2 linked regions of the Mus musculus genome follow. The protein of the gene in region 2 interacts with the protein of the main gene of each other region in a pairwise test. Links are inferred from orthologs where the notes say so. Each region holds a gene or a part of one and is shown on either strand. Other genes may lie near its edges.

Region 1 (3,500 bases), on a different chromosome or scaffold from region 2:
GTGTCTGCTCTATGAGACAGCCAGACTTAAAATATTTTGACAACAAAGGTATGTATCCTGTTTTCCTGAATACTCTGTGTAACTTGCTTTTACAGAACCTAGGGATGACTCAGTGTGGGTAAGTTTCTGCTTACCATGCAAGACCCGACTCCTTTGTAGTACTACAGAAAAATAAGCAAAAGCTGCCTTTGTGTATTTTCTCTTGGGAACTATCCGAAAAGGTAGTTTGCGAGTTTATGGTTTCAAGACAGGAAAACATTTTTAATTGTTATAATTAAAAAAATAAGCTTTAAAAATCAAATTAGTAATTTCCATTTTTAAGCAAACTCTTTAAGTCCTTTTTAGTTGGCTAAGAGTTGATACAAATGGGACGTGATGTAAAGGTGGAGTGTTGGTAGTCAAGTGTTAGAAAGCACCTTGCCCACTTGTCTCAGCCTGGAGTGCTGATGGAGGGGAAGGAAAGATGGAGAGCGGCTGCTTGGTGTCCCTCAGTCTCACATTTTCAGTCGCCTGCTCCTTTCTAGAGCGCTGGTAAGTAAGTGGTAAGAAGATGCACCCGCTGCTGCTTCCCATCTGTGACAAAGTCGTAAGTGAGAGCCCATGTCTGACACAGAACTGTCTCGCATGCTCACACACAGACCTGCTCACAGACCTGCATCTTACACCTGTGGGAATTATTCACAAAGCTGTTGTGCTTTTTTAGTTGAGAGGCCTAAAAGAAGTATCATAGTAGTGAGCACATTTTATGTCCAGATCTTGGTTTATAATACCAAGGAACTAAGGCCCCTACAGACATGGCTGCTTCTAGATCTGGGAAGGAAATAGACAAGATGTGTTTGGATTCTCTTGTGGTGCTGGAAAATAGAGAAATATTAAAAAGCAAAATGACAGGCAGCATGGATGAACTAAAGGAGCACAAGAGCCAGTTGGAGGTGCTCTTGAGGGCTCTGGAGCTCAGCTGACAGATTGCTTGTCTACCACACATGAGGCCCTGGCTTCCACTTCAGCACTGAAGACAAAAGGAAAGCTCCAAATAGCCAAAACTGAAGTAATTTGAGAAAACATGAATCTATACTGTTATAAATGATATTGTGAATATATAGGGATAGAAGAGAAAAATTGTCTGCACAAAAGAATTCCATTTATATCAGTGTTCTTCCTTAGGGAGATGGGAACAACGCTCCACTTCTTAGTGTGGGCTTCACAGTGACTTCCAGGGAGAAGGGTAGGAGAAAGACAGTATAGAAACCAAAATGCCAGGTTGGGAGGGGCAGTTCAGCAGTGTGTACCCTAGGGTTCTGCCCTCCAGTAACTCATAATTATAATCTAGTCATGAAAAAAAAATAGGTAAATTTCATTAATGGGACATTACAAAATGTCTGTAAAGTAGTCCTTAGAACAGTCAGTTTCCAGTTACCTACAGAGACATGGTTAAATTTAATATGGGATCCAAAATGACACTGGGTAAAACCAATTAAGTCTGAATGAAGTATGGGCTTCCATTACTAACAATGTATTGGCACCAGTAGTCGTGTGTCAGTTATTAATAGTAACAAATGCCTCATATTCATATAAATAATTAATAGTAGGGAAATGCTTATGATGTATTAGGAACACCTTATACTATTTTCACAATTTTTCCCCTAAAACTCTTCTTTTAAAAACAAAGTCTATTAAAACACACATGTTGCCGTCCAGTTTCTCTGTTGACCCTTATTTCAGTTTCTGTGCTAAGTTGGAGAGAATGAGACTAGAGTAAAGGAATATTGATTCAATCTCACTCAGTACCTTAAGCTCCTTAGGATGTTCAGAGTGTGTTCTAATATAAGGAACATATAAACAAAGGCAGTGGGGTGCAGGTTATTCTGATATATTCTCAATGTCTTTAGCAATCTATAATAAGTAATATGTCCTTTCAAGGCTAAGTCTAAGTTGTTAGTTTCTATTGCTGTTAAAAAATAATATTTTATGATTCTTAATGCTTTGATATAAAATGTTTTTCCAAATTCTTCTTACAGATGATGATTCTGATCCTGAGACAGCAAATGACTTGCCCAAATTTGCAGATGGAACCAAGGCCAGAAACAGGAATCAGAGCTACCTGGTTCCCAGCCCTGTGCTTAGGATTCTAGACCACACTGTCTTTTCCACAGGTTAGGGGAACTCATTCATAGCATTTAGAATCTCTGGTTCAGATCAGCTAAAAGCAGCACATACTGTAACTTCCTTTCACAGGATTGTTTCTAACTAGGCTTATTAAGTGCAGTGCTACAGCAGTGAGGACGGCTGTTTCTAATGGGGCTTTATTAGCACAGTGTGACAGCAGTGGGGCTACTGTCTCTAATGAGTGTATTGAGCACAGGACTTCAACAATGGAATGATTGTTTCTAATGGGGCTTATTTAGTACAGTACTACAACTGTGGGTTTTCTTCGTTTCAGAAAAATCTACTGAAGTTGAGATCTGTGATGAAGAATGTGCCTCACCTGAGTCAGTGCATCAGCATACTCAAGAGGAGAGCCCTATAGAAGTTCATACCTCAGAAGACGTCCCAATTGCTGTAGAAGTTCATGCAATCTCTGAAGACTATGATATAGAGGCAGAGAACAATTCCTCTGAGAGCCTCCAAGACCAGGCCGATGAAGAACCACCAGCTAAACTCTGTAAAATTCTTGACAAGGGCCAGGCTTTGAATGTGACTGCCCAACAGAAGTGGCCTCTCCTGAGAGCCAACAGCAGTGGTCTCTACAAGTGTGAACTTTGTGAATTTAACAGTAAATACTTTTCTGACCTAAAGCAACATGTGATCCTGAAACACAAGCGCACTGACTCGAATGTGTGTCGGGTGTGTAAGGAAAGCTTCTCTACCAACATGCTTCTCATTGAACACGCCAAACTCCATGAAGAAGACCCCTACATCTGTAAGTACTGTGATTACAAGACTGTGATCTTTGAGAACCTCAGCCAGCACATTGCAGACACGCACTTCAGCGACCACCTTTACTGGTGTGAGCAGTGTGACGTGCAGTTCTCCTCAAGCAGTGAGCTCTACCTGCACTTCCAGGAGCATAGCCGTGATGAGCAGTACCTGTGCCAGTTCTGTGAGCACGAGACAGGGGACCCTGAGGACTTGCACAGCCACGTTGTCAACGAGCACGCTCGCAGACTGATTGAGCTGAGTGACAAGTGTGGCAGTGGTGGCCATGGGCAGTGCAGCCTTTTAAGCAAGATCACCTTTGACAAATGTAAAAATTTCTTCGTGTGTCAAGTATGTGGCTTTCGGAGCAGACTTCACACAAATGTCAACAGACACGTGGCTATCGAGCATACTAAAATATTCCCTCATGTTTGTGATGACTGTGGGAAGGGCTTTTCCAGCATGTTGGAATATTGCAAGCATCTAAATTCACATCTATCTGAAGGGATTTACTTATGCCAATATTGTGAATATTCAACAGGACAAATTGACGATCTTAAAATTCATCTAGATTTCAAGCATTC
Region 2 (4,250 bases):
CTTGTAGCCTTCAGCAGCCAGCTCCTGGAGCTTCTTTGGAATCTCTGGGTACAGAATCCTAAGGTGGACGGGAAGTAGCAGGTGACTTGTGATCTAAAGAACTCTGGGCACCCAGCCCAGCCGCCTCCCATGTCCCACCTCACCTCCAGTCACTAGGGCTAGTGGGGAAGACCTTTCCAGAGCGGGTGGTGATGAGGGTCCCATCTAGGTCAAAGGCAGCCACCTGGTATCACCAACAGGGACAACAATACTGTCACCTCTGACCTTCCTTACAGGCTTACTGTCTTCCTTTTCAAGTCAAGGGTTTCTCTGTGTAGCCTTGGCTGTCTTGGAACTCACTCTACAGACCAGACTGGCTTTGAACTCACAGAGATCTGCCTCCCTCTGCCTCCCAGGTATAGGGACTGAAGGCGTGTACCTGGAGACACCAGCCTTTAAATACCAGTATTATCCTTCTGTGTCCTCTGCCCTCCACTTCCAGTTTGTTTGTTTTTTTTTTTTTAGTAGGAACCAGTGTCTCACAAATCCTTTTTCTCTGAGCATCTCCTTGGAGAACTAACAGCCCAGAAGGAGCAAAGGGCTTTGTTGGAAGAGTTGGAGAGATGGCTCAGTGGTTAGACTCAGTGGTTAGGAGCACACAAATGTCAGATGGCCCATAACTGCCTGTAACTACAGCTCCAGGGCACCCAATGCTCTGTGGCCTCTGCAGCCACCTGCATACAGTACACAGAAAATCATGCAGGCTCATATCAATTCTTTTTTTTTTTTTTTTTTGATTTTTGTTGTTGTTGTTTTTTTTTTCGAGACAGGGTTTCTCTTTATAGCCCTGGCTGTCCTGGAACTCACTTTGTAGACCAGGCTGGCCTCGAACTCAGAAATCCGCCTGCCTCTGCCTCCCGAGTGCCAGGTCATATCAATTCTTAAAAAAACAAACCTCACTGTTGGCTGAGTGGCCACAGGAAACTAGGCCGTGAATTTTCTGTGGCCTCATTTCAGAGTGATCCAAGAAAGGTCACCACTGATTACAGGGCCTGACCTGTACCCTGTACCTCAGTGGTGGCGGCACCACTGGGGTCTCAGTCTTCTCTGCACAGAACAGTTGAGGCTCAGGAACTTTGATAAGACTAGCTCAGGGCTGCACAGGAAACTTTACATTAACTGGCTAGCCTGGGTGGCAGCAGGGGTGGCGGCCTCACCTTGCCCTGGGGCTTCACCCCAGACGCTGTGAACACCAGTAACTTCTTTAAGCTCTCCCAGCCAAGAGAGGATTTCCGAACTCGCTTTTTCTGAGGCTCAGTATCCTCTCCCTCCTCCGGATCCCCAGGAGTGTCTGGTGGAGCATCTGGCTGGGATCCTGATGTGCTGAGCTCTTCCCAACGCAGGGTCAGGGGATATAGGCCATTAACCAGATAAAGGACATCCCCCAAGCTTAGAGAGCCAGACAGTCCTGGCTTCAACTCCTGGACCCCAACAGTTGACGGGTTAACACCCAGCTGCAGACAAAGGAGGAGCTAGGGTTGGCACCACCCCGCCCCACCAAATCCAATACCTTAGCTCCCAATCAATTTTTAATCTTCCCACCTATTCACTTCGTGTGGCCAGTCAGAACTTTGAAAGGTTAGTGGCTTCTAGTCTGGCACGGTGTTAAAGCGGAAAGCTGACCAGCCTTCTGAAGGGTTGTCATCTACCCGGCCCCTCTCCCAAGTCCTTGCTACCCGCTGCCAAGACACTGGTACCTGTTTCACTGCCACTGTCCGGCTTTCAGGGTCTGCAATCAGCTCCACTGAGGGTAAGGGGGTGGAGTCAGGGTTTACATCACGTACAGGGGCGTGGCCAACTACAGTCTACTACTAGGACTTAAGTAAGAGAGGCACTTTCTCCCTAGGACTTAAGTAAGAGAGGCACTTTCTCCCTTCCTTCCTCAATCCCCCAACACAGGTAGCCCAGGATAGCCTTGAACTCGCTACATACTAGCGGCTGGGCTTGAACTGATTCTCATGCCTCTACCACCCAATTCTCTGGATGACAGGGGTGTCTGCCCCCCCCCCCCCCCCCCGAGCCAGTTTATTCCTCAATAATAACAGGTACTTCGGAGTCCCTAGGATTGCTAGAGACACGGACTTGTCCAGAACAGGTATTTTTTTTATCTGTAGGGTCTGCTTTGTCCCATGAGATACATGGGGTAGACCGAGGTCTTGGGCATGGCTTGATGCATCACCGCCTGATGTAGCCTGCCCAGCGACCGTCTCTCTGTTGTCCTTCTCCCCTCCGGTGACAATCTCCCAGATCCTCTCTGTCCCTCCCATAATGCCTCGTCTTGCTTCTGGCTAGGCATAGGCTCCCCTGCTTCCTTCCAATCCCACTCTGCAGCAGTTCCATTCCCGTGCCCACCTTGGTTTCGGGAGCACTTCCGGTCCGTCACTTGGGTCAGGGGTCCCCGACCGAGGACCAGGGCTTGGCCATCCGACGGCAGGAATATAGGGGGCGGCCCACCGGTGGGGCTCTGCAGCCACAGGCGGCCCCGGGATCCAAGCTGTGACATCCTCGGATGCTGTGAAGGGGAACAGAATCACAGTGGAGCTTGCTCAGCAGCCGGCAACCCACCCGCCACCGGAAGTTCTGCTTTCCCAATGCGAGCCACACCGGAAATTCCGCCCCTTGCCCATGGGCGGGTTCGACGTTTCCCAAGCTACCACAACGGTTCCAATGCGCAGTGAGGATTGCATATAGGTAGAGTCACTTCTGAATTCATTCCAAAGCTCATCTATGCTATGGGAAAGACTGTTCGAAAATTTGGCTCCTCCCACGGCGCATGCGCAGTCCTGACTCGCTTGAGGCGCTCTGAGCCAGAGCGGATAGGGGTCACTCGCATCCATAGTCACTTGATCCCTACGCTAGAGTTACTTGTTTTTGTTTTGATTTTCTTGTATGTATGTATGTATGTATGTATGTATGTATGTATGTTTTAGTGAGACAGGTTCTCAGGATGTAGCCTTGTTAAAATTCTTTCCTAGGCATGGTGGCACATGAGTTTAATATTAATCCTAGTACTTGGGAGGCAGAGGCAGGCAGAGCCCAGCCTGGTCTACATAGTAAGATTCTGCCCCCACCGCAAAAATAAAATAAAGAGGAAGTTGCTCTCCTGGGGAAGACCTAAAAAATGCCTACCCTTCTCCAAAGGCCTGAAGTATATATAACCTGAAATATGATTCCACCACAGAGCATTCTGGGGAAGCCGACTATATTGGGCTTGCAGAGCATAGGTGGTGGTGGTTGTGTTGCTACCTGCAAAAAAACACACGGGGCAGTTTTCATCTAGCAGAAATGAAGCCTCATTTCATACTGCACAGACAGAGCCCTTCCCTTCCCTTCCCCCTCACCAGTATCCTCTAGCCCCTCCCCAAACCACAGGCAACTAGGGCAAAATTGCATATAGTTGCTTGTGAGGAACAGCTGGGTACTAAGGTCAGGGTCCCATGACCTTGCCTCCCCTTCTATGAGCGAAATCAAAAAGTCCGGCTGCAGTTATCTTTCAGCCCAGACAAGTTTTTTTTTTTTTTTTTTTTTTGGCGTGTATGTTAATCCACCATACACCCAAACTGGGCTCAAATTTCGGGATCTGTCTGTCTTCCAAATATTAGTATTAAAATAGAGCTCTACAGACAGGTTGGCAGCGCACGTCTTTCATTCTAAAACTGGGGAAGTGGAGGCAGAGGCAGGCAGATCTCAGTTTAGTGACAGCTTGGTCTTCAGAAGGGCTCCAGGACAACCAGGGCTACACAGAGAAACCCTATCTTGAAAAACACGCTCTAAAAGCTGGGGGGGGGGAGAGGAAGGAAGAAAATGCCATCACACTTGGCCATTGATGGGTTGTTTTACTTTTTGATACCAGGGGATTCACCTGCTCCTGTCTCCCAAGTGCTAGAATTAGAGGTGTGCGCCACTGCTCACGGTTTTTTTTGTTCTTTGAGGCATGGTCTCAAAAAGTCTAGACTGACGTGAACACCTGTGCCTCCTTAAACCCATCTCCCTGCTGATGGAATGACAGATGTGCGCCTTCATCATTCCTCTGCGTAGCAGCGGAAACAAACCAGCTTGTCCTTAGCATTTGAAGCGCATAGCATCACTATACACTCTTCCTTTGCTTCTATGATGCCGGTCCCTTTGCAATAAAGTGGGAAAATCGCTTCTAATTCTGGGACAAATACGCTAAAGCTCGGTATGATGGGGCAGATTGGAAATCCCAGCAC

Evidence for each region.
Region 1: the proteins of Pnkp (region 2) and Zfp639 interact in binary tests that used the Homo sapiens proteins (3 or more experiments, as listed by UniProt). The two-hybrid records come from large-scale screens. The link is inferred for Mus musculus from reciprocal best matches to the Homo sapiens genes PNKP and ZNF639.

The regions. Positions count from the first base shown.
Region 1 is NC_000069.6:32,517,092-32,520,591, forward strand, and holds part of Zfp639 (zinc finger protein 639), read left to right. Parts: coding exon 1-48; intron 49-2,018; coding exon 2,019-2,153; intron 2,154-2,440; coding exon 2,441-3,500. UniProt on the Homo sapiens protein: Binds DNA and may function as a transcriptional repressor.
Region 2 is NC_000073.6:44,855,696-44,859,945, reverse strand, and holds the start of Pnkp (bifunctional polynucleotide phosphatase/kinase), read right to left. Parts: upstream 2,801-4,250; 5' UTR 2,727-2,800; coding exon of another isoform or gene 2,694-2,726; 5' UTR 2,552-2,693; coding exon of another isoform or gene 2,543-2,551; coding exon 2,392-2,542; intron 1,784-2,391; coding exon 1,737-1,783; intron 1,494-1,736; coding exon 1,197-1,493; intron 224-1,196; coding exon 144-223; intron 59-143; coding exon 1-58. UniProt on the Homo sapiens protein: Plays a key role in the repair of DNA damage, functioning as part of both the non-homologous end-joining (NHEJ) and base excision repair (BER) pathways.